3 linked regions of the Tamandua tetradactyla genome follow. The protein of the gene in region 1 purifies or fractionates together with the protein of each later gene. This does not show direct contact. Links are inferred from orthologs where the notes say so. Each region holds a gene or a part of one and is shown in the gene's direction. Other genes may lie near its edges.

Region 1 (8,057 bases):
TAAGGGTCAGAAAGTTTTCCTCAATTATCTCCTCAACTAATCTTCCTAGCCCTTTAGTCTTCTCTTCTCCTTCTGGGGGATGGCAATAATTCTCATATTTGTGTGCTTCATATTGTCCATCATTTCCCTGAGATCCAATTCAAATTTTCCTTCTTTTTCAACATTTGTTCTTTTGTGCATTTGAATTCAGTTGTCCTGTCTTCTAGTTCACTTATTTTTTTTCACCTCTTCAAATCTACTGTTGTGTGTCTCTAGTATATTTTTAATTTGAGCTACAGCAACTTTCATTTCTGTAAGGTCTGTTATTTTTCTATTTATTCTTTCAAATTCTTCTTTATGCTGTCTAGTATCTTCCTATCTTTTTTTAGCCGACCCACTGAACTTATTTAAGAGATTCGTATGAACATCTTTGATTAGTTGTTCCAAATTCTGTGTCTCCTCTGGTGTTTTAAATTGGTCATTTGGCTGGGTCACAATTTCTTGCATCTTCATGTGCTTCGTGATTTTTTTGTTGACTTCATGACATTTGATTATCTTGAAAAAATTAGTTTGAAAATTGATTTCAAAGTCATCTAAGATTTTGGAGTTGTTTGGGTTTGTGTTGAAGGTCTCCTTTTGCACTTGGTTTGTCAGCAGTTCTCTGCCAAACCAAGGCCGGGACCTCATGCAGGAGATGCAACTCTAACTGGAGATCTTTTAGAGGCTAGGCAGAATGGTGGCTTGCCAGGCTACACCTCCCTGGTCTTTCCAGCAGATGGTGCTCTTGGGCCACCTCTCTCCATCAGGCCTGACTTACCCCTGCTGGATCCCAACCCAGTGTAAAGCCAGCCAGGGCCGCAGGTCAAGATGTGCAGTGAGAGCCACCATCCCCAGGGCCGGGGGTGGGCAGTGTGCACCACGGTGGGGAATCCACTTGTGGGCACCATGGGTCTGGTGGTTGCCGGGCTCCTGCGTGCAAAGACTGAGGACTGAGTATTACAACTGCCCCTGTCCTCAGCCAGCCAGGAGTGCCTGGGGGTGCTGCACGGCTTGCCCCATTGTCCCCACCTCTCCACCCATGCATGCTGTGAGCACTCCAGGCCTCCAAGACAAAAGGATAGATGTAGCAGGACCCAGGGAGTCTCTCTCACTAGCTGTCAGATTGGCTCTGCTCTGTGTTCCCCCCTCCTCCCAAGGGAAGGGCCCCCCAGCCTCCACCCAAACCAGGCTCCCACAGCGACTTTCCTCAGGGGTTGGTGGGCAGGCCCTGTGCACTGGCAGCAAGGCCTCTGCAGTAAACCAAGTCTGCTGGCTTTGTAGTTCCCCACGGGAGCCCCAGCTGCAGGGCCAAGAGGGAAGACCTCTCAAGCTGAAATGGAGGTGGGCAGGAGTGCAGGAGCATTCGGCTCCACTCCAGCCTGCATGCTGCAGCCTGCCCCAGTTGCATCACAACTGAGTTAACTCACCCCATCTTCTCAGTCATAATTTCTGTTTTTTCATCCAGGTCCTCCCTAAATAATGTAGAAGTCCCTCTTTGGTACTCATACCCTGGAACTGCTGTCCTCCTGTCACTTCTCTAGTTGTTCCACAGAGCAGAGGCGAGCTCAGACTACCCTATTCTGCCATCCTCCCTGCATCCTCAGTTTAATTTTTAATAGGCAATTCACTCAAGGGTTCCAAAAATAGAACATATAAAACAGCACATACAGTAAAAAGCCTCATCCTTATCTGCTTTCAACCCAATTCCCATTATACTCCAATTAGGGTAGCCAATGTTCTTAGTATTTAGGAATCCTCCAGTTAATTTATGCACATACAAATAGACTGTTATTTCCCTTTTCAACACAAGGTAACACATTACATTATTGTGTCATACTTTTCTTAGTAATTTATCTCGGAGAGCTTTCCATATCTATTTATGGATACTTCTTTCTTTAGTACAACTGCAAATATTCTATTTTGTAGATGTGTGACAGCCCATCTACTGAGTTGTTTATTGATGAACACTTTGGCTCTTTCAAACCTCTCTTCCTGGTCAGGCTCTGCACCCAGCCTCCGGGATGCCATCTGTGTGGACACCTTCCTCACCCAATTTGGGCCCATGCAGCAACCCCCATTCCACAGCATAAATGCCTTCTTTGCTCAGCTTCTCTTGAGGACCTTAGGACTGAATTGTTCAGGAAGGAAAGAGAGGGAGTCTTGTATTAACTCTTAATGCTCACTACCACTCTGGGAGAAAGGAGGAAGTATTCTTATTTAATGGTGGAAAAAGCTTATCGAGGTTGAGTTCTCTTCCCATGTTCTCACAGTTAGTAGATGTTGGAGCCAGGATTCAAACCCAGATTCAAATCTGGTCTCAGACCAGCTCTGGGAACCATGATGCTGCTAATCACATAAACCATCATATAAAAAGTGCTGTTAAGTATATTATATCAATGTTTTCAGTGACATCTTCTGATACCTCAAATATTGTCCTTTTTTATATAACCTTGTTATATATATGAACAAATCTTATAGCCCAACTCAGGCTTTCTCAGCCTTACTTTGTCTCTCAGGTTTTCGGCTGCTAGTTCCTAAAAACAACGCTGTAAGAGAAGTACTGTCCTTGTTGTCCTCTCTTTATTGATGCAGAAACTGAGGCAAGATAAATTAACTAGCACATGGCAGAATGAGGATTTGAACTCAGGTGGTCTTGGCTCCCACCACAGTGCCAGGTTTCCTTTGAGGTACAGTTCCCTCTGTATGATAGGAACAGGAAGTGCTTTGAACCACCAAAAAGACTTTGATTCTAATTTAGGTGTAGTGGCTTTATGAGTTAAGGAAGTTAATATATATAAATATAAATATAAACATAAATATAAATATATATATATTGGCATGGGCAGGCTCCGGGAAGTTAATTATTTTTGAGCCTTAATTTCTTTACGAGACAAAATACCACATCTCTCAGGTATAACACAAAATGTGTAAAGCATCAACTAAATAGAAGGTACTTGAAACTTAGATTTTCCTCCCTTAAACTTACTTTAGCCATAACTATAACTGTTTCTGACTATAATCATAGAAAAACAAAATGTTGAGATTATGGGAATAAAAGAGAGAAAATGAAAGGCAGAGATCATGGATTTCAAAGAGAACTTTCTGAACTCTATTCCCCTTCATCCTTTTGGGGATTCTATATATTTATTTATACTCTATTCAAAAACACTGAGAGGGTAGGCATTGTCTCCTAGGCTTTGGATCCATTTCACCTTCCACATGGCCTTGGACAAAAATGCATAACCTCTGTGACTGCCTCCTCTGCTCCGAAATGGGGACTATGATACCTATCTTGACATATGGTAAGGACTTAAAATAAATAACATGAAATACACCAGCATAACATGGCAGGCAGTCAATGTGCGTTAGCTCCCTTCCTTTCAAAGAGGTTTTTAAGTTCCACAAGGGCAGAGATTACATGTCCAATTTACTCACTATTTTACCCTCTGAGTGCCTACTTCATAGAAGATTCTCAATAAAAATTTCTTGGTCATTTACTAAATTACTCTAAATGTTTGTTTACATTGGAATTTTTGGATCATGTGCTGAGGTGTGGTAGCACTCAGGTCTTACCAACTTGCTCAGCCTAATTAATAACTCGGGACAGTTTCCTCAAAGTGTACCCAAAATGTATTCTATCCTTTCTTCAAAAAATGTAAACCTTTTTATTTCCCACAGATTAAACCAATTATTCTGATAGATATTCTGTTGAATCTTTGCCAACATGGCAAAATATACTTCTAGAAGTCTTTAAAATAATAATGTCCTTTAACCCAGGAAGGATCGGAGATTTATTTCAAGCAATCAGAAATACCCTCAAAGAGTCACACACAAATATGTTCAACACACATTTATGGGGGGAACTGGGAATGACAAAAGAATGATTAATTAATCATCATATATGCATAAAATAGTAGAATGGAGGCATTAAACCACACTTTAGAAGAATTTTTATTTATATAAGAATTTGCACACTATAAAGTGAAAAGTTACAAAATATCTGTTTTTAAACGTACATATGTTACAATAACTGTACAAAGTAACAAAGTAAACTTTGTTGACTTTGATTGATGGAATTACCAGTGATTTTTGGTTTAATTTTTAGAACTTTTTGTATCTTCCAAAATTCCCACAAAACATACGTCTGGCATTTATAGTCATAATATTCAACGTGAGAAGAAAAAAACAACTTTAAACACAACTAGCTTTACAAAGATTAACGTTTGGGGTGAAATTTTTTCTTTTACTTCACTGAGAAAATGGCTTTTTTTAAAAAGTCAGACTTCTGAAAAATATAGCTGCCGAGCCCGTTTGCTCATCTCATCTCTAAAATGGGGCTGGTAACTGCCAAATCACAGACCCCGAGGGAAGATTTCCTCGCTAACGGCGGTCGAGGGCCTGGCAGACATCGGAACGCAAAGTCTGCACGAAGGCTAGGTATTTACTGAGTAATTGTCAAGATAAGGGGAAGTCCATAGACATCTGGAGTAATTACAAAAATTGCTTGGCATAAACTATTCTAAAACAAAAGTAAACCGACAGCGCCGCTCCAAGCGCCTTTCCACGAACCTGTACTCACCGGCCCTCGGGACCCGGCTGGGTCCCAGCACAAGTTGTAGGAACCAACGGCGCCTCTCACCGTCCTGAGGTCCCGAGGCCCCAACCGTCTTCCTTCCTAACACTCCATCCTCGGCCCAAATTCCTCCCCCAAGGGCCGCAGCAAGTTCTCAAGAACTGACTGGGGTTCCTTCAGGGTAGAGAGGAGCGAGGATCGAGGGCCCGGGAGGCGGGCAGGGCGGCCCCGGCACCCGCTCGGGCCTCGACCGCGCACGCACGGAACGGGTCTACCGGTCCCCGCGGGCAGCGGAAAAGAAGAGGAATGGCAGGGACCGCCACCCCGTTTCCAGACTCGGCTTCACCTCATCGGAAGTCAGTTCCGGACCTGACTTTCTGCGGGGTCAGAATGAGCACTACAGAATAAAAAGGACCCGCAGGTACAAGGAGACCGTGGCAGAGGCGCCGCCATCTCTCCCGCCGGTCATAAAATCCGCGGGAACGTAAAGAAGACACTCGAGATGCCCGAGCTCGTTCCCATGGAAGTACAGGGCAAGGGGAATCCCTAGCACAGAAATCACGTCCGTTTGGCATTGTGCACAGCGTCTCCCAACCCGGAGGTCTAGACAAGGTTCTTCCAAAGGCCCCCTGGGTGAGTGAGCAAACGGCGTGTCCAAGGGCCCCCCGCGGGCTCTGCCGGCCCCCAGGGACCCGTGTCCCGAGCGCAGGGCCTCAGGCTGTAGCCGGGTCCGCGACCCCGAAAGCACTCGCGCACGACGTGGGTTGCCAGGAGACGTGACCAGCCGCCTCCTCCAATCAGCATGCATCTCTTTGCGTCCAATCACAGGCGTCAGGAGGGCTGTGGTGGAGGTGAAAGGTCACGCTGCTGTTTGGCGGCCATTTCTCCTCAGGTTCAGAGACCCCCGGCCTACGACAGCCGCTCCAGACACCGGGGACGGACGACAGCGGGGTCGGAGGCGAGCGGCCTGCAGCATTCATTGGTAGTCACGATGGTAAGAAGGAGAGAGCGGCCAGGCTCACCGGAGAGGGCGAGAGGGAGGGCAGCAGCCTCGCCCGGCCTGGTGGCGGTTTCACGCCTTCCCCATTCATTCGCGTGAGGGGCCGCGCGCGCTGCAGCCAGTCTCTTTCTCTCTGATCTGGAGGGGTCTGAGGCGCGCGCTTCTTCCGGAGCCCTCCTCGCCCCCTCCCCAGTAGGGCCCCTTCCCTTCTTCGTTTGCATCCGGATCTGAGATTTCCCGCTGGCTGGGACCACCGGGTCTGGGTAAAGATGAACCAGGGTCTTGGATCGCTGGGTTCAAAAACCCCCAAACCCACTTTTATTCCATGGTGTTAGGATACTCAGCCCTGCAGCCCTCTGGAACACAAAGCCCAGACTTGAGAGCATTCATTTATCCATTCAGCAGATATTTATTAAGCGCATATTACTTACTAGATACTGCTCAAGGGCGTTAGGAATATCGTGTGAAAAATATTCATGTTTACCCTGTCCTAGGTGAACTCATGGTTGTTTGTGGAAAACAGACGTTACTCAGTAATAGGAGTAAATATATAGTTGCAAGTAATGATAAGTGGTAATAAGGAACTAAACAGGATGCTGTGCGGGGTGATGTGCCTGGGTGTGGAGATGGATGGTCAGGGATGGCCTCTGTGGGAGGTGGGATTTGACCAGAGACCTAAAAAATAGAAAGACTGAACTACAAGAAACATAAACAGAGGCCCTAAAGTCGTAAAGAAAGCTTGACCAGTTACACGAATTGACAAAAAGCCACAACTGCATGCAAGAAAAGTGATTATGAGATAGGACAGGAGGAGCAGGAATTGGGTAGGCCCTTTTAGGCCATGTAAGGGGGTTTGAATTTTATTCCAAGTGTAATTGGAGCCATGTAAGCATTTTAAGCAGAGATAAGATGTGACTGAATATATACTTTAAAAGACAGTGGTTCAATATAGAATTATCATATGACCTGGCAATTCTACTTCTGGGTACATAAGCAGAGAAAATGAAAATAGGGTCACAAACAGATACTTGGACACCAGCTTTTATAGCAGCATTATCCGCAACATCAAAAAGTAGAAACAACCCACGTATCCAACAACAAATGAATGAATAAACAAAATATGGTGTATACACATTATTTAATGTTATTTGGTTGTAAAAAAGAATGTAGTTGTGAGATGCTGCCACATGGAAGAACTTTGAAAACATGCTGGGTGAAATAAGCAAGACACTTATGTTCAGGTATTGTATTTTATCAATCATAAAAGTTGACTAGAAATAGCGAATTGCTAGAGGTGGAAAGCAGATTAGAGGTTACCAGGAGATGGAAGGGGGTGGGGGTGAAGTAAGTGTTTGCAAAAAAAAAAAAAAGAAAGTGGGAAGATGTGGACTTTATTCTCAAAAAGAATTGATCAGACAAATAGCAACACGGTAAATCTTGCCTCAAAATTGAGGAAGAGATGAACTAGAGACAGACACAAAGATCACAAAAAAGGAAAAGTGGAAAGGGAAGACATGGTTGACCTGATCATAATGTTTATCTGACAAGCCTATTTTCTACAGATTGATCATCTAACACTAGATTAAAGATGTTCATAACTTTTCTTAACCAATCATTCTTCTCAATGAAAATGAGGACAATGATTTCATCTTGGAAATTCTTGTGAGATCAAAGGGCATTCGTTTCCACAAAAAGATAAAAAATATATAGTATTTTTTGAAGTCTCAATAAATATTCACATTTCCTACAACAAAATAATAGTTGCAGTAGTGATAATAAATTGGGAAGAGATGAGTAAAAACTGGAGACCCATTAGGTGCCTATTTCCATTGTCTCCATGTCCTTTGAGATCACTTTGAATATGCTATTCTTAGAGGGGCGATTAGTAGCCAAGTTTCATGGTTCTTTTCTTTGTGCTTTTGGGTGAACAGATAAGGGAAAGAGAAAAGTCTGAACTCACCTAGGATACTACTGGTTGGCTTCATAAACAGAGGTTAAGTGATTGCCCATACGGAGGCAGGCATTGCTAGGCATTAGTGATAGCAAGTCAAAAAACCCACCTAGCCCTGACCTCAAGAATTAACGTGTGAGTTAGTCAAACATGTTCTATCTTGTGCTTCCTTCTGTAGCTTCATATTTGGGGCTCTAACAGTACTGAAGTATTTGTACGTCTCTGCGCTTGCCTTGTTACTTCACCTTTCCCTGCTTTTCTATTGGTAATCTGTGCTTTAAAAAATCCCTTTTTTGGGCGGTGCAGCAGTGGCTCAGTGGCAGAATTCTCGCCTACCATGCCAGAGACCCCGTGTTTGATTCCCAGAGCCTGCCTATGTTCCCCAAAAAAGCCCTTTTTCCCTTCGAACATCTCTCATCCTTTATGTTACCTCTACCCTCATGCCCCCCAAGCTTCTTGGGGAGGGGACGATGTCATTTGCATTTTTTTAGTGCCTTTAGCTTTGTTTCTTTAGA
Region 2 (7,875 bases), about 56 Mb from region 1:
CTTGGTTCTGGATGATGACTGTATAACTATATGGCTTTGATGGTGTGACTGTGTGACTGTAAAAACCTTGTGACTAATACTCCCTTTATCCAATGTAGGACAGATGAGTACAAAAAAGATGAATAAAAAATAAATGAATAGGGAGATAAGGGGTATGGGATATTTGGGGTGTTCTTTTCTTATTTTTTATTTGGAATAATGAAAATGTCCTAAAATTGATTGTGGTGATGAATGCACAACTATATGATGATAACTGTGAGCCATGGATTGTATACTTTAGATAATTATATGATATGTGAAAATATCTCAATAAAATTGCATTAAAAAAAAGAACCAGCAGAGTAAGACAAACAGCAAATATCCTTTAAGCTGATATGTCTTATATGTGTTGTGAGTGAGGTATGCACAAGTACTAGGGGAACTCTGCCACTACGAACCTGGAGAAGCTTTGTCACCTTTCTGGGTTTCAATTCCCTTAATTTTAAGGATGGTGAAGAATGGTAGCCTGGAAATAGGGAAAGCATAGATTCTGAAGTTGGATGATTCTGGAGTTGAATTCTGGCTCCATCTTCCTTTTTTTTTTTAAATTGTGAAATATAACATGTATACAAAAAAGTAATACATTTCCAAGTACATTTTAAGAAGTAGTTATACAACAGATTTTAAAATTTGGCTTGGGTTACAGTTCCACGTTTTTTCTGTTTTTTTATTTTAGCTGCTCCAAGACACAGGAGACCAAAAGAAATATCAATATAATGATTCAGCAGTCATACTCATTTGTTAAATCCTATCTTCTCTGTTATATTCCTCCTCTTTTTTTTCTTTTTTGTGAAAAATAACATATATGCAAAAAAGCAAATTTCAAAGTACATCGCAACAATTAATTGTAGAACAGATTTCAGAGTTTGGTATGGGTTACAATTCCACAATTTTAGGTTTCTACCTTCTACCTTCTAAGGTACTGGAGACTAAAAGAAACATCAGTATAATGATTCAGCCCTCATACTTATGTGTTAAACTCTACCTTCTCTATATAACTCCACTCTCCCCTTTGATCTTTCTTCCACTCTTTTTAAAAAATTTTTATTAATAAAACCGATCAACAAACAATATGAACATTCTTTTTTATCACATAATTGTATATTCCTCATCATGATCATTTCGTAGAACATTTGCATCAATTCAGAAAAATAAAGAGACAACAGAGAAAAATTCATACATGCCATTCCCCTTACCCCTCCCTTTCATTGATCACTAGCATTTCGATCTAAATTTATTTAAACATTTGTTCCCCCTATTATTTATTTATTTATAAACTTTTTTTATTAATTAAAAAAATTAACAAAACATTAAGATATCATTCCATTCTACATATACAATCAGTAATTCTTAATATCATCACATAGTTGCATATTCACCATTTCTTAGAACATTTGCATCGATTTAGAAAAAGAAATAAAAAGACAACAGAAAAAGAAATAAAACGATAACAGAGAAAAAAAAGATTATACATACCATACCCCTTACCCCTCGCTTTCATTTCCCACTAGCATTTCAAACTAAATTTATTTTAACATTTGTTCCCCCTATTATTTATTTTTATTCCATATGTTCTACTGTTCTGTTGATATAGTAGTTAAAAGGAGCATCAGACATAAGGTTTTCACATTCACAGAATCTCATTGTGAAAGTTATATCATTGTTCAATCATCATCAAGAAGCATGGCTACTGGAACACAGCTCTACATTTTCAGGCAGTTCCCTCCAGCCTCTCCGCTACATCTAGAACAACAAGGTGATACCTACTTAATGCATAAGAATAACCTCCAGGATAACCTCTCGACTCTGTTTGGAATCTCTCAGCCATTGACACTTTGTCTCATTTCACTCTTTCCCCTTTTGGTCGAGAAGGTTCTCTCAATCCCTTGATGTTAATTCTCAGCTCATTCTAGGGTTTTTCTCAGTCCCTTGATGCTGAGTCTCAGCTCATTCCAGGATTTCTGTCCCACCTTGCCAGGAAGGTTCACACCCCTGGGAGTCATGTCCCACGCAGAGAGGGGGAGGGTGGTGAGACTGCTCTTCATGTTGGCTGGAGAGAGAGGCCACATCTGAGCAACAAAAGAGGCTCTCTTGGGGGTGACTCTTAGGCCTAAATTTTGAGTAGACTTGACCTATCCTTTGTGGGGTCAAGTTTCATATGAACAAACCTCAAGACTGGGGGCTCAGCCTACAGCTTTGGTTGTCCACACTGCTTGTGAGAACATCAAGAATTCAACTTGGGGAAGTTGAATTTCTCCCCACTCTCACCATTCCCTGAAGGGGGCTTGCAAATACTTTTCCACTCACTGATCAAATCACTCTGGGATTCATCGGGGCATCACTCTGGACAAACCAACAAAATCTCATGTCCTACCTGAGATTCTAAGTACTTATGACATTCAATCAAACTATCTACATGAGTTGTATTAGGAAATGCTCTTGTCAAAATATAAATTTTGTAACAAATAAACATTTTTTGCTTTAGTCTCACACATAAGGTGACATTCTAAAGTATTAATTATCATCTATCTTCAGCACCCTGCAATAATGACATTCCTTTGTTCTTATTATTTATTTTCATGCAGTATGTTTTACTCATCTGTCAATAAGGTAGATAAAAGGAGCATCAGACACAAGGTTGTCACAATCACACAGTCACATTGTGAAAGCTATATTATTATACAATCATCTTCAAGAAACATAGCTACTGGAACACAGGTCTACATTTTCAGGCAGTTCCCTCCAGACTCTCTGTTATGCCTTAACTGAAAAGGTGATACCTATTTAATGCATAAGAATAACCTCCACGATAACCTTTTGACTCTGTTTGGAATCTCTGAGCTATTGACACTTTATTTTGTCTCACTTCTCTCTTCCCCCTTTTGGTTGAGAAGTTTTTTTCAATCCATTGGTTCTGAGTCCCAGCTCATTCTAGGATTTCTGTACCATGTTGCCAGGGAGGTCCACACCCCTGGGAGTTATATAGAGAAGGGGCGGGCACTCTTTAGGGGTATACAGGCTATGCCCATTCTAACTTTACCATGTTGGAAGGGGCTATAGTGGCTCCAACCTTGCTAAGTGTTTAAGGCAAAATTAACCTTGCTGGACCACAGCCTCCTCATTGGCAAAATGGAGATAATAGCCATCTCATATGGTTATGAGAACTAAGTAAGGTGGGTTGAGTGTCCATGTAGAAGCCAAGAGTTTAAAGCAAGACCTACAGAATTTGTTGCAAGCTGCTGGCCTCAGGATGGCGGCGGTAAACTGTGGAGATTGTTATGTAGAGCAGTCTGGGAGGAAGAGAATGTTTACCCAAAACAGTTATGTTAAGTATGAAGAACACTGTGAGATAAGAATCTTGCTCCCTCAGGAAATGCCTGCGTATCTATTGACATCCTGTGGTATATAACTGGGATCTGGTTGAGAATAAAGTTGTCTGATGTCTGATGTAGATTTAAGCTTCAGACCCCCTGAACCCATTCGCATCTGTCTTTCTTTTCTTCCTTTATCTCTCTCCTTCTCATCATTCCTTAATATCCTTCGAGCTGTTTCAACATAAAGCAACATGTTCAGTGTAGGATTCGACACTTACAAGATTCTCAGCGCATGCTAGTTGCAGCTCTAAAGATTCCAGCTTTCTCTTAAGGTCTGATTTTCAGTTGTGGTTCCAATCTGTGAGTGGAGGGCCCTCTTGTGTTCACTGGTTGTAGTACACTTAGTAGATCTCAGACTTCCTTTCTCTCTGTTCTCCCTTTGGGTAGAAGTCAGGAGCAGGTCAAAGGCAGCAGAGTTCTGAGTAACTCCCAAGGTTACTTTGAGCCACTGTGTGCGAGGCTCAGGGCTTCAGAAGTATTTGCATTTATCTCGAAGCTCTGTTTGAGAAGAATGGGAAGCATATTTGGAGAGAGTAGCGGGACCCACAGCCCCGTGCGGTTGCGATAACAAAGGTGATGATGAGAAAATGGGAAGGAAGGAGGCACAAGATACTTCATGCATGGTATTTAAACTGTCCTATAAGTGGCATGGATTTTGTTTTTTAGTTTGGTTTTAGGGAATATTATGAAACCATAAGACCAAAGAGAAAAAGAATTTGGGAGTAAAAGAGCTCAGGGAGAGGGAGAACAAAGCCTAAATCCCAAGATAGCTCAACAATTGGCTAGATCCCAAAGGGCAAGAAAATGAAGCCAGGTCCTGTCTGGAATGCTGAAGGACAGCAGGTATCACAAGCAGGACAAATACACTCTCCCAGATGACCGCTGGAAACATGTGGGCTTATTTCGAGTTGTCACTATAACAGGGGGTTGTTAACGGCATTTACCTCCTTCAGGGTCACAGTTGCTAAATGTCCTCCAAAGCGTGGGATAGTACCGCACAAGGAAGAACTGATCCATCCTCGTTGTGAAATACTAGGTTACTCTTTCCCGTATCTTAACCCTTAGCTTAAGGGGCTAATAATCTTCTTCTACCTCAGAATTTTTGTAAAAATGCTTTTTCAGAAACAGTATTTTGTTGTTATTGCTGCAGTTAACTTTTATAATTAAGAAAATCATTAAATCTCTCCGCTGTTAAGGGACAAGCCATGAGAGTCATTAGCTGTAGTTCCTAGGAAGACCAGCATATTCCAGAAAGACTGCGCGACAGGAAAACTCCACGCGGGAAGTCGACCCAACGAAACTTCCTCCTCCTGCAGACGCAAAACACTTTGGCGAACCACATTATCCAGCAGACCCCGCGGCCGGGGTCGGCGCTCGCGCCGTACATTCTGGGATTGGTAGTTTCCAGGCCCTATTGTTGACTTGCAGCATTCAGGACCCGGAACTCGCCTTCCCAGCTTGCCGCGCGGCCGGGGGCTCAACTCTGTGACCAGGAAACGGGAAAGATGGCGACTGCTCGGCGACGTTAAGGCCGCGTTGGGCGGCTCACACTCAGGGTGGTGAGTCCCGGGCGAGAGAGGTGGTTCTCAGTACCTTGCAAGAGCGGGCGAGAGTGGGGTCACGGCGGTGGCCGTTGCTTCCGGCGTGAGGTGGGGAAGTACGCCTCAGGGAAGGAGCACGAGCGTGGGAAGCTCTGGTGGGCAAAAGCTGAGGGGCGCGGGCCCTTAGCTGAAAGTGTTGGCTCCTAGGGTCCAGGCCAAGACCCTAGACGCGGGTCGACGTTGTTAGGGGCCCAGACATTTGCCCACGGCATAGCCCCTTGATATTCCCTGTTCAGTTCGACTTGGTTTCTTCGTTCTTCGAGTACTTCTTGCTGCAGCCAAACTGGCACTCTGGCTTTTCTTCCAGAACCAGTGCATGCTTTCCCGCCTCTGCTCCTCCTGTATTATTTCTTTTGCCAGGAATGACTTCCTTTCTTCGCCCTCAATTACACATCATGAAATTCTACCTATATTTAAGGGCTCAAGAACTATTTCCTCTACGGAACCTTCCAACTCCCCTTTCACAAACGGAATTAAAACCCCTTTGAATTCCGGTAATACTTATCTGAGTCTTCACCCTGGCATCTATTTGCTTGTGTCTAATCCCCATTGTTGAGCTATAAACTTCCTGTGGGTAGGATCTTCCTGATTTCCTTTTGTAACTCACAGAGTGCCTAGAATGGTGCCTAGCATATAGTAGACAATTGAAAAATACTTACTTGAACGAAAAAATCTGCCCCTACCTTACAAGAACTGAGGAACTCAAAGATCTGGAGGTTTGTTTGACAGGGAATCAATAGCCAGGGCAGCTTAGTTATCTGGCCCTTTTGATAAGTAAAGCCTGTAATAAAAATGGTCTGTATTTACTGTCTATATTTTTTTCTCCTCGTTCTCTCCTTAGCTCTCTTCACACAGGCTTTTACTCCTTCTGTGGAATTGAAATAGCTTTTGTCAGGGTCACTAGCAATCTCCGTTTTTCCGAATGAATTGCTAACTTCTCTCTTTCCTGTTTTTTCTCCATCTCATTAGTATTTGACACTGTTGATTACTCCCTCCTTGACACACTTTTTTGGCTTCTGTAGTGCTATACTTTCCTTTTTACTCTTTTCTCATTACTGCTTTTTTTCCAGTTTTTTTCTCTTTCTCCTCTGCTTGACCTCTTAAAATGTCAGAGTACCCCAGAGCTCAGTTAACTATTCTGTCTACTTAAATAATATTTTGTGCCATGACTTTAAAAGCCATCTTAATGTATTGATTGACTCATATTTTTGTCTCCAGTCTTGAACTCTCCCGTGGGTTCCAGATTTGCATATGTGTCTGCCTTCCTGGAATCTCCTCTTTGTTCTCTTATTAACATCTCACACTCAACCCAAGTGAAACTTTTGATTTCCTCTTTCATCTGTTCCTCTCTCAGTCTTCTCTCGTTCAGTTTTGCCACCACTAACCATTAAGTTGATCAAACCATAAATTTAGGAGTTATATTTGTGTCTGCTCTTCCCCTCTTTCTCCTTATCAGTAAGTCCTGTCAACTGAGCTCTCAGAGCATCCCCTGAAGCTGTCTACTTCTTTCCATCTCCGTTGCCATCTTCCTAGAATAAGCCACCATTCTTTCTTTCTTTTTTTATTGAGATATCTTCACACATGTACAGTTCATGCAAAGTATACAATCAGTGGCTCAAAATGTCATCACATAGATCTGTGTTCATCACTATGATCATTTTTAGAACGTTTACATCACTCTAGAAAAAAAGAAAAAGAAAAAACTCATACATCCCAAACTGCCTTACCCTTCTTCTCATTGACCACTAGTATTTCAATCTACCCATTTTTTTTTTACCCCTTATCCCCCCATTATTTATTTTTTATTCTTATTTTTCCATCAGTTTTATGCATACACTACTGTAATAGTTTTCTCAGAGGTTATTTTTTTAGTCTTGCCCCCCCCCACATATTTTCTTGCAAATTACTGAAGTAATTCTCTTAAAATGTTAAATTATACCATATCATATCATAAACATTCACATAGTCGGATTAAAATCCAAATTCCTTGCTGTGGCTTGTAACACATTTCCATGATCTGAGTCCTACCTACCTCACTGACCTCATCTTGAATCAGTTTTTCCCCTGGGTTACTGCCATTCAGTCACGCAGGTCTGTTTTTAATTAGCAAGCATACTAAGGTAATTCCTGCCCTAGTGCCTCGGTACTTGTGATTCTTTCTACCTAATAGATTATTTTCCCTGATCTTTGCATAGCTATCTCTCCTTTTGTTCAAGTCTCAGCCTAAATGTAATCTAAAAAATTCTTTCCTAAGCTTTCTATCTCTTGTTCGTTCCCTTTCTCATCATATCACTGTTTTATTTTCTTCATTAGTACTTTGTTGGTGTTCTTACTCTTGCCTAATTATTTATTGTAAGCCACACTAGAAAGTAGAGTCTTTGATTTGTTTACTGCTGAATCTCCAGCACGTAGAATAGTTTCTGGCACCAATAGGTGCTCAATGAATATTCATTGAAAGAATGAATGAAGTTTAGGATCCTTTATAGAGCAGGTAGCCTTTCCTCTAGAGTGTTTCTTTAGGGCTATAAGTAGGAGACATAAAATTTCCAGGTGATATACATGGTCTCTCGATTATAGAACATTCAGTCATTTCTAAGGAAATTGTCAGATTCAAGTGGCTTGTTTCCACCTTTTCTAAGTGCTATGCATTCTTTTTTCTTTTCTCACCTTTTTAAATTTCCTTTTTGAAGATACATGGCAGGGGATGGCATGAAAAAGGGGACTGCAAGCTAAAGTTTAGGGAACTGATATTCTAGCTGAACCAGCTGGGTATAAAGTAAGTTCTGAGAAATGTATCCTAAGCCTTAAGGATGATGATGATGGATAGAGGAAGATTCAGATTTGCTGTCATTTTAACTCCT
Region 3 (7,918 bases), on another chromosome or scaffold:
ACACTTCTGCCACACTTAAAACTCCACTGTGCCCCCTGTAAGGTTGCAGATTTAGCAAATAAAAAACAGAATGTTCCACATTTTATCTGGCAATCCTATCCTCAGGCCACATTCCATCTCTTTTCCATTATACTCCCACTCCCTAACCTCAGTTCCAATAATTTTCCTTTAAAAAAGAAAGCAATTCCTCTCAAGATTCAATGGATATGATCTTTATCAAAGGACAAATAAAATCTACTTTGACTTTACTTAAAGGGTCTTGATAAAAAAATAACTCAAAAGAGGAAAAGAAAGATTATCTTAATTCTTTTCCTTGGTGGTGCTAGGAGTTTTCTTTAAAACAACAACAACAACAACAAACAAGCAAAATATAAAAGGAACAACAAAATACCTCTAAAATCTGAAAAGCTTCCTTCTGAGAACAGACTATTCTTGCTAGAAATTGATCCAGGAAGGAGAAATACCCTGGCCAGAAGTAATAAACAGTGAAATTAGAAAAGGAAAATGAATTCACAGTAAAAGGGGGTTATACTGAGCAGAAAGTACCTTAGGATTTTATTTGTAGCTAGAAGGGACCTCAGTGGTCACTTGATTCAACCTTCTCATTTTACAACCAAGAAAACCATGAGAAGTAAGTGACTTGCCCATGGTTACAGGGAAGAAAGACCCCATCTCTTTCCAATTTCCCTCATTCCCTGGTCCTTTGCCCCAGATAATGGAAGGTGACAGCACCCACTGAACTGAGGAAGGCCCTTCTCTTCATGTCCAATTGTCAAGAGAAAAGTTCCAAATAATCCTGTGAGGTCCAGCATAGGAGAAAAGGTATTCGCAGCATTTCAAGCTAGATTCTGAATTATTTTTCCACAGAAAATAGACATTTTATTAGAGATACTTTAATATATTATTTATACTAGTACTATAATTTTTATAATTCTCTAATATTCTTAGCATAATCCTATAGGTATACTATGGATTAAACAGTCTTTAGTAGACCACCTAAAAATCTAACCACCAATAATATTGTTTCTATTAGAAAATTAAGTTATGGGTTTTAAACCATTTTACAATATAATCAATCCCAGTCTAAGGTAGGAACTACCAGTAAATTATAAATTTGATGTGATAAATTAAAAACACAAGATTCCTCATTTATAAAAAGCTCCACCACAGAGGTCATTTATTTTTAAATTAGGTATTCAGGCAGTTAACACAGGATTTGATATACATACATCTTTTTATTAATAATTCACTAGAAAACTGAGATAAATAAAAAAGAAACAATTTCTATACTCATCTTATTTAGGAAAAACAAAAAAATTAACACATATTTTTATCAAATGAGTTATAAAAGGTCAGAATAAAATTGTTCATATTTTCACAACTGAAAAGTTGCCAAGTTATACATTTTTCAGTATCTAGTGCTAGTTCAAAAAATGGATGAGTAAAGGAATTATGAATTAAGTCTGTACAGGTAAATGGAGTTTAAAGAACCCCCACATATCACATAAAGATATGTGATGTTTCACAAATTAAAATTTTAGTTTGATAAATCTATTTTTAGATTTAAATTTCTACCCAGTCAATTGTTTAATGGATATTTTCACTCATTCATTTTATTTGCCAACAAAGAAAACTGAGGCATTATTATTTTCCAGACACTATGCTAAAAACTTGGAATGTATGACTACACATCAAGTCAGTTCCTGTCTTCAAGTAGCTTGACTTAAATGCATTTACCTGAGAATAATAACAGCTCAAACTCTTTTTTTTTTTTTGGCATGGGCAGGCACGGGGAATCCAACCCGAGTCTCCAGAATGGCAGGCAAGAACTCTACCACTATGCAACCATCTGCCCGCCCCACAGCTCAATTCTAATTGGTCATTTTAAAAAATGATTATAAAATGTAACAAAGTTAATTCACAAAGGAAAAAACACAATAGTAATTTTAAAGACAATTTAACACTCAATATTTATATGAATTTTTTTCATAAAGTAACCAAAAACACTGTTTTGGTAAAAGTTCTAATAATATAACAGCTTAATGGTAATTTTTGCTATGAAAATGAACTGTTAATTCTCCAATAAGGAAATCAAAAGCTTCTAACTACTATGGCAATGAAAAATCAAACACCGAGAAAAGATATCTTAAACTATTCTTGTAATAAATCAAAATGCATAATAATTTATAGTCATATACTATTAATAGATGGCTTCTGAAGATGTAGATTTTAACAAACCTGAATGATAAACAAAGTAGCTCTATATTAAACCCTAGAAATGATCACAACTATGTATTCTGGATTATGTCATCTGCAAATTTTTCAATGAAAAAGGCCTTAATATTTTAAGGAGATTTTACTTTTAACAAACGTAATTCAGTGTTCCATTGGTTTCATTATAGAGTCATAAAATTTTTTCATCAATATTAATGACATATCGAGATCAATAAATCTGCAAATATTAAAAACTCTTCATGGATGAAAAACATTCTTCACTTTAGAGCTATACCTCTTCAAAGCAAAATTCAATGTGAATCAGCCATTCTAAAGTGCGAGGGGAAATTCTAACGACATTTTTTCGTTGTATTTTACACAAATATTTTCATGATTCATCAACTAAAATATTTACCTTTAAAAGCATTACAAAAACATCTTTACTAAATTCAAACAACTACCTAGAGAAGTAAATGGGTAGTGTCTTCATTTACATACAAGGAAACCAAGGCACAGAGGTATCTGTTCTGTAAATTGCAATGTCATTTCCTAAACAAGGATTTGATTCTACTGCTATCAAGTTATATGTGAGCCACTTACAAGTACCATAAAACAATTATCGTACCTTAAAACAACTGCCTCTGCAATGCCTATGCACAATTTCATTTTATTAAAAGGAAAAGTGCAACTGCTTAAACAATGAAAGCTGGAAAGGGAGGATTAAAAAATAAAAAGAAAACACATATTTAGCAGTGAATAATTTATTTTTAAATAATGATATGTAAACAGTTTTTAACATAATTATCAAGTTGTTTCTTATACTTTCCAAAAATATTTCATCTTTCTGATATGACAGATCATGCAAAAATGGAGACTACCCATCCTTGTGGATAGAAGTTAGAAAAATGAGAAAAAAATTCTACAAGCAATCATAATAATCGAAATTGCAAAGAAAAGAACTGAATAAAAATAAAATTTAAATAAATTAGGGTATGCTCAATATGACAGTTAAAACCCCATCTTAAATTCTTGCATTCAACTAAATCACGGCTATGATTAGCAATCAATTATTCTGCTACTGAAAAATAAAGAAATACAAAACTTTTCTTAATCAAAACTTGAGAAATTTCATATCAAGTATTTTAAGGAAATATTTGACATAAATAATAAGTTTCTTTTCCCAAAAGAAACTTAGAGCATAATGGCAAAACTGTTTCTGAGAGTTCAGAGTCATACTGCATTTGTAGTTATGATAAATATAGTTTATATCGACAATATATATATATAGTTTCTATCAACAATTAGAAAAATGGAAGTTACCATGGAAATTCAATTTAAGAACAATAAATAAGACGTGTTGAGTAGGCAATAAATTAACTTACTGAACAGAAATAAGACAACACTTCAATCTAACACCCAAGAAAGAAAATTAATCCGAGGCACCCTATCCATAGAAAAGGATAGGATTAGAATGAGTCGTATTCTAGCACCTAGCCGAGCTAGGGATTTATTAATTGCTTTAGGACAGGTAGTAAAGCACATTAGGACAGAATGTGCTTTCTTTTCATCATTATTTCAGTTTACCATCCGCGAGTGCAAAAGGCGTCAGAGTACAGAAGCTAGGGGGCATGCTGTAGCAAGGGGAAAAGAAAAATGGAAAAGGTGCAATGGATGCTGCATAGTTGAATAATTATCTGGGTGGCACAATGGGCGAGTCCAGCCCACATCGGAGCTAAGAGAGCTGCTCCCTAACTCTGCCCAAGGGGTCCCCATTAACAGGCATCAGAGGAGACCGCACCACTTTGCCTCCTCTTCAAACGAATAAAGGATTTCCCATACTGGCTTTACCGTTATGTCTATAGACACCGACTCGCCGCGCAAACACGCAAACGCACGAGCTTGCTTTACAGAGCCTGGGTCTCAAAGAGCGAGCAGGGGATTCTCTCCGACCCGGTGCTGCAGCCTACCCGCAAACGAGGAGGCAAGGGGGCCACCAGGCGGGCAGGAGACGTGGTGGCGGGGCGGGGGGGGGGGGGGGTTCTGGCGATGGCACCTCAGGTGATCTCTCTGCCTAGGGCAGCTTCAGTGCGGTCCCTGCAACCGAAACCCAAGCGCGCTAGCCCCCGTCTCCCTCGGCACCTAGCCTGGCCGGCGAGTGGGCGGCGGGAGCTCGGGAAACCCACGAATGGGGGTGGGGGTCGTCGGAGGGAGAGGCGCGCCCATTCCTTAACATTTGCCGGGCTAGAGAGCCACACACACCTCTCTGTTCGGCTGTGGAGGAAGAGTTCCTATCTTAGCATCCCCCGCACCCACCAAAAAAATTCCTGAGAGACTCGCGCTCACCATGAAATCTTGGGGGCTCTTGCCTTAGCCCTTCTTCATGCTTTGGCGGCGGCCGCCGGACCCTCTCAGATCTTGGTGCTCCACCTAGGAGCGTCGGGCTCGGAATGGAATCCGCTCCTGGCGGCGGCCGAGGCTCCAGGCCACCGGAATCGCCGCTTGCGGCGCCAACCGGTCGCCGGACCCACAGTGTGCTCGACGCGCGAGCGAACAACACCGGGAACCGCCGCCGCCCCCCGGCCGCCCCCTCCCCGCGCGCGACGCTCCACAACCGGGCGCGGGGATACGCGCCGGAAGCCGGGGGTGCCGCTGGACTCCCGTCACCTAACCTCTCTTCCTTCCCAGCGGGAGCTATTCCCCGCCAGTTAAGGTCTTCGAACTTAAGACTCAGTTTCTTCTATAGTTCCCAGTGCCCAGGCATAACCCTTGTGGGAAACTCTGCCCACTCACCTGTCCGTGAGGATGGATATACCGCCCCCACCCCCCTTCCTGAACCGGTGTGGTATTGCCCAATCCTCCGTTTGGGGGAAGGGGAGCGGAGAGCACAGTGCTTGGCTAGGGAATGAGGGAAGATGATAGCCAATTGAATGAACCATCCTTTCGGGGGCGGGATCAAAGAGAGGCCTGCCAGGCCGGTCCCGCCCCCTCACCTCAAACTACACTTCCCATCGTGCCTTCTCCCACTTCCCGCCGCGCAGCACGCCGGAAGTCAGGAACGCAAGGCCTCAAGGTATTTCGGTACTCGTAGTCTTTAAGCTAGTCAAATAGGTCCTGAAAGTTATAAACTATTTTTATTCTCTGTGTTTCCCTAGATAAATGATTCCAAATTCTTTATTAACTTGGGGGTTACTATATTTGTAATTACTTGATTGTTTGAAAATGTTATAAACGCTTTCTTAGTAAAGCGGGGCAAATAATATGTTCTGTGGTAATCTGTCAGGACCTGGGAGCCCCTTCTTCTTCCGCCGGGCCTGGTCTTCGCAGCGGGTCTGTTGCCGTCATGTCGGCTGCGATTGCAGCTCTGGCTGCTTCCTATGGTTCGGGTTCAGGGTCCGAATCGGACTCAGACAGTGAGAGCGGACGATGTCCGCTACCAGCTGCCGAATCCCTTATGCACCTGACTAAATTGCCTTCGGCCAAGCCTTCTCTGGCAGTTGCAGTGGACTCGGCTCCGGAGGTGGCAGTTAAGGTAAGGGCTTTGGCCGCTGCTGCGGTGCGGGAATTTTTGGTTTCTCTTCCAAAACCCGCCGCCAGCTAGGGCTTGTTAGGCTTCCTTGTACCTTTTCCTCAGTGCTGAGAGAAAGTTCTGAGGCTTGAATCTCTTGTGCTTCCTACATGCGTCTTCCTCAGCTGAGTCGGAGAATTGGAAGTTCAGGACCGCCCTCCACTGCTTCTCACCCTGTCCCCGGCCCTAAGAAAGCAAGTGGAAGAAGGGGATGAAATTTGAGTGTATATATTAGAACGTGGCCTCCATAGAGCAAGTGCAATCTGAAAACATAAATAAAGAGAGATTAGGATCGCCCAAAATAAAGAATGTGCCGTTACTGAAGTGAGCAGTGGCTCGGCTTTGTTTTGTTTATGAAATTAGAACTGAGTTCGAATTCCGACCCTAACAGTGTGTGAACCCGGGCAAGTTATTCCACCTCTTCCTCCTTCTCTTGATTTTAAAAGTACCTGTCTATGGGAGTATATTATTGTGAAGAGTAAGTGAAATGATACATATAAATTAATAGCGCAGTGCCTGGTACCTAGTGACAATTCAATAAATGCTAGTTGTTATGATGGTATATGTTGGTATACTTAAGAAAAAGACCTTGGATTTACGAAACCGTGTACATGATCCCAGTAGAAGAAAAGTGCTAGAGGGAGATGTGGGTTATGTAATTCATTTCACAAATATTTACTGAGCACACGTTATTTGCCACGAACCCTTCTAAGGGCTGAAAACACAGGCAAACAAGCCAGACATCCTTGCCATCATGATACATACATTGTAGTGGACAGGTAGACAATAAAATGTGAGCAAAGAAGGCGGTTACAGATTGGGCTGAGTACTGTGAACGAATAATGTAGAGTGCCATGATAGAGAATAAGGTAAGAATATTAGTTTAGATAAGTTGGTCAGGAAAGCTCTCCCTGAAAAGGTGGCTTATGATTTGGAAATGGAGAACGAGAAGGATGCAACAATGTACAAGCTAAGGTAAGAGTTCCCCCTCAAAGGGCACAGCAAGCCTTGAGGTGGCAAAGATCTTAGTATGTTTGAAGAACTAAGAAAACACTAGTATGGCTGAAGCTCACTGACAGAAGCTCACCAGTTGGTAGTTATTTCAGTTTGCTAAAGCTGCTGGAACACAATATACCAGAAATGATTGGATTTATTAGGCTACAGATTTATAGTTCTAAGCCTATGAAAATTTCTAAATTAAGTCATCAAGAAGAGGATACCTTCTCTGAGAAAAGCTGTTCCCATCCAGGGTTCCTTTGTCACATGGAAAGGCATATGGCAACGTCTCCTGTTCCTTCTCTCATGGTTCTGATTTCAAAATGGCTCTCTCAGCTTCTGTGGGTCCTTCTTGCTTCTCCCAGGATATTTTCTCTTTCAACTTCTCTGAGTTTGTACTGTCTTTTATCCTCCCACAAAGGACTCCAGTAAAGGATTAAGACCCATCTTGAATCGAATGGATCACATCTCCATGAAAACAACCTAAGCAAAAAGTCCCACCCACATAGGTCTGCACCACAGGATGGATTAAAAGAACATAGGCCTGGGTGGGCCACGGTGGCTCAGTGTCAGAGTTCTCACCTGCCATGCCAGAGACCTGGCGTTCAATTCCTGGTGCCTGCCCATGCAAAAAAAAAAAAAAAAAATGAACCTAGACTTTTTCTAGGGTACATAACAGATTCAAACCAGTACAGTAGTGTAAACCCAAACAAGCCCAATAGGAATGATCAGAAGGTCAAGATGTGGAAAGAGGAGACAGAATGCAAAAATTCCTTTGTATTTAAGGTGCTCCCAAGTATAATGTTATAACTTAAAAAAAGTCTTTTACAGGTTTTTAAGGTTTAAATTACCTTCGTGAATTTTACTTTTTATTATTGGACATATGGCATAAAACGATGCTTAGAATCCTATCTTGATAACAAAACAAAACTCCCCAAACTTGTATCCCTTCAGCAACATCCTGAGTCGTCCTTTCACAGATCTTCTTTTTGGAGCTCTCTTCACTTCTACATCTCATTTTCTCCTTAACCCAGTGTAAACTCGCCTTAGCCTCTTGGGAAACTACTCTTCTTGAATGCTGTTGGAGGTGTTCCAGTTGTCAAATTTTGTCATCTGTCTTGAATCTGTGTCAAGTGTTCTGTG

The links. Proteins that work in one complex are often made in the same cells at the same time.
Region 2: the proteins of SNRPF (region 1) and DDX23 purify together in Homo sapiens (co-immunoprecipitation; 3 studies listed by BioGRID and IntAct, counting the BioPlex papers as one, with this or other methods). This does not show direct contact. The link is inferred for Tamandua tetradactyla from reciprocal best matches to the Homo sapiens genes SNRPF and DDX23.
Region 3: the proteins of SNRPF (region 1) and CDC40 purify together in Homo sapiens (co-immunoprecipitation; 3 studies listed by BioGRID and IntAct, counting the BioPlex papers as one, with this or other methods). This does not show direct contact. The link is inferred for Tamandua tetradactyla from reciprocal best matches to the Homo sapiens genes SNRPF and CDC40.

The regions. Positions count from the first base shown.
Region 1 is NC_135333.1:165,942,105-165,950,161, forward strand, and holds the start of SNRPF (small nuclear ribonucleoprotein F), read left to right. Parts: upstream 1-5,031; 5' UTR 5,032-5,224; intron 5,225-5,419; 5' UTR 5,420-5,582; coding exon 5,583-5,585; intron 5,586-8,057. UniProt on the Homo sapiens protein: Plays a role in pre-mRNA splicing as a core component of the spliceosomal U1, U2, U4 and U5 small nuclear ribonucleoproteins (snRNPs), the building blocks of the spliceosome.
Region 2 is NC_135333.1:109,743,718-109,751,592, reverse strand, and holds the start of DDX23 (putative ATP-dependent RNA helicase DDX23), read left to right. Parts: upstream 1-4,870; 5' UTR 4,871-4,972; intron 4,973-7,875. UniProt on the Homo sapiens protein: Involved in pre-mRNA splicing and its phosphorylated form (by SRPK2) is required for spliceosomal B complex formation.
Region 3 is NC_135331.1:168,750,230-168,758,147, forward strand, and holds the start of CDC40 (pre-mRNA-processing factor 17), read left to right. Parts: upstream 1-4,913; 5' UTR 4,914-5,116; coding exon 5,117-5,284; intron 5,285-5,494; coding exon 5,495-5,743; intron 5,744-7,918. UniProt on the Homo sapiens protein: Required for pre-mRNA splicing as component of the activated spliceosome. Plays an important role in embryonic brain development; this function does not require proline isomerization.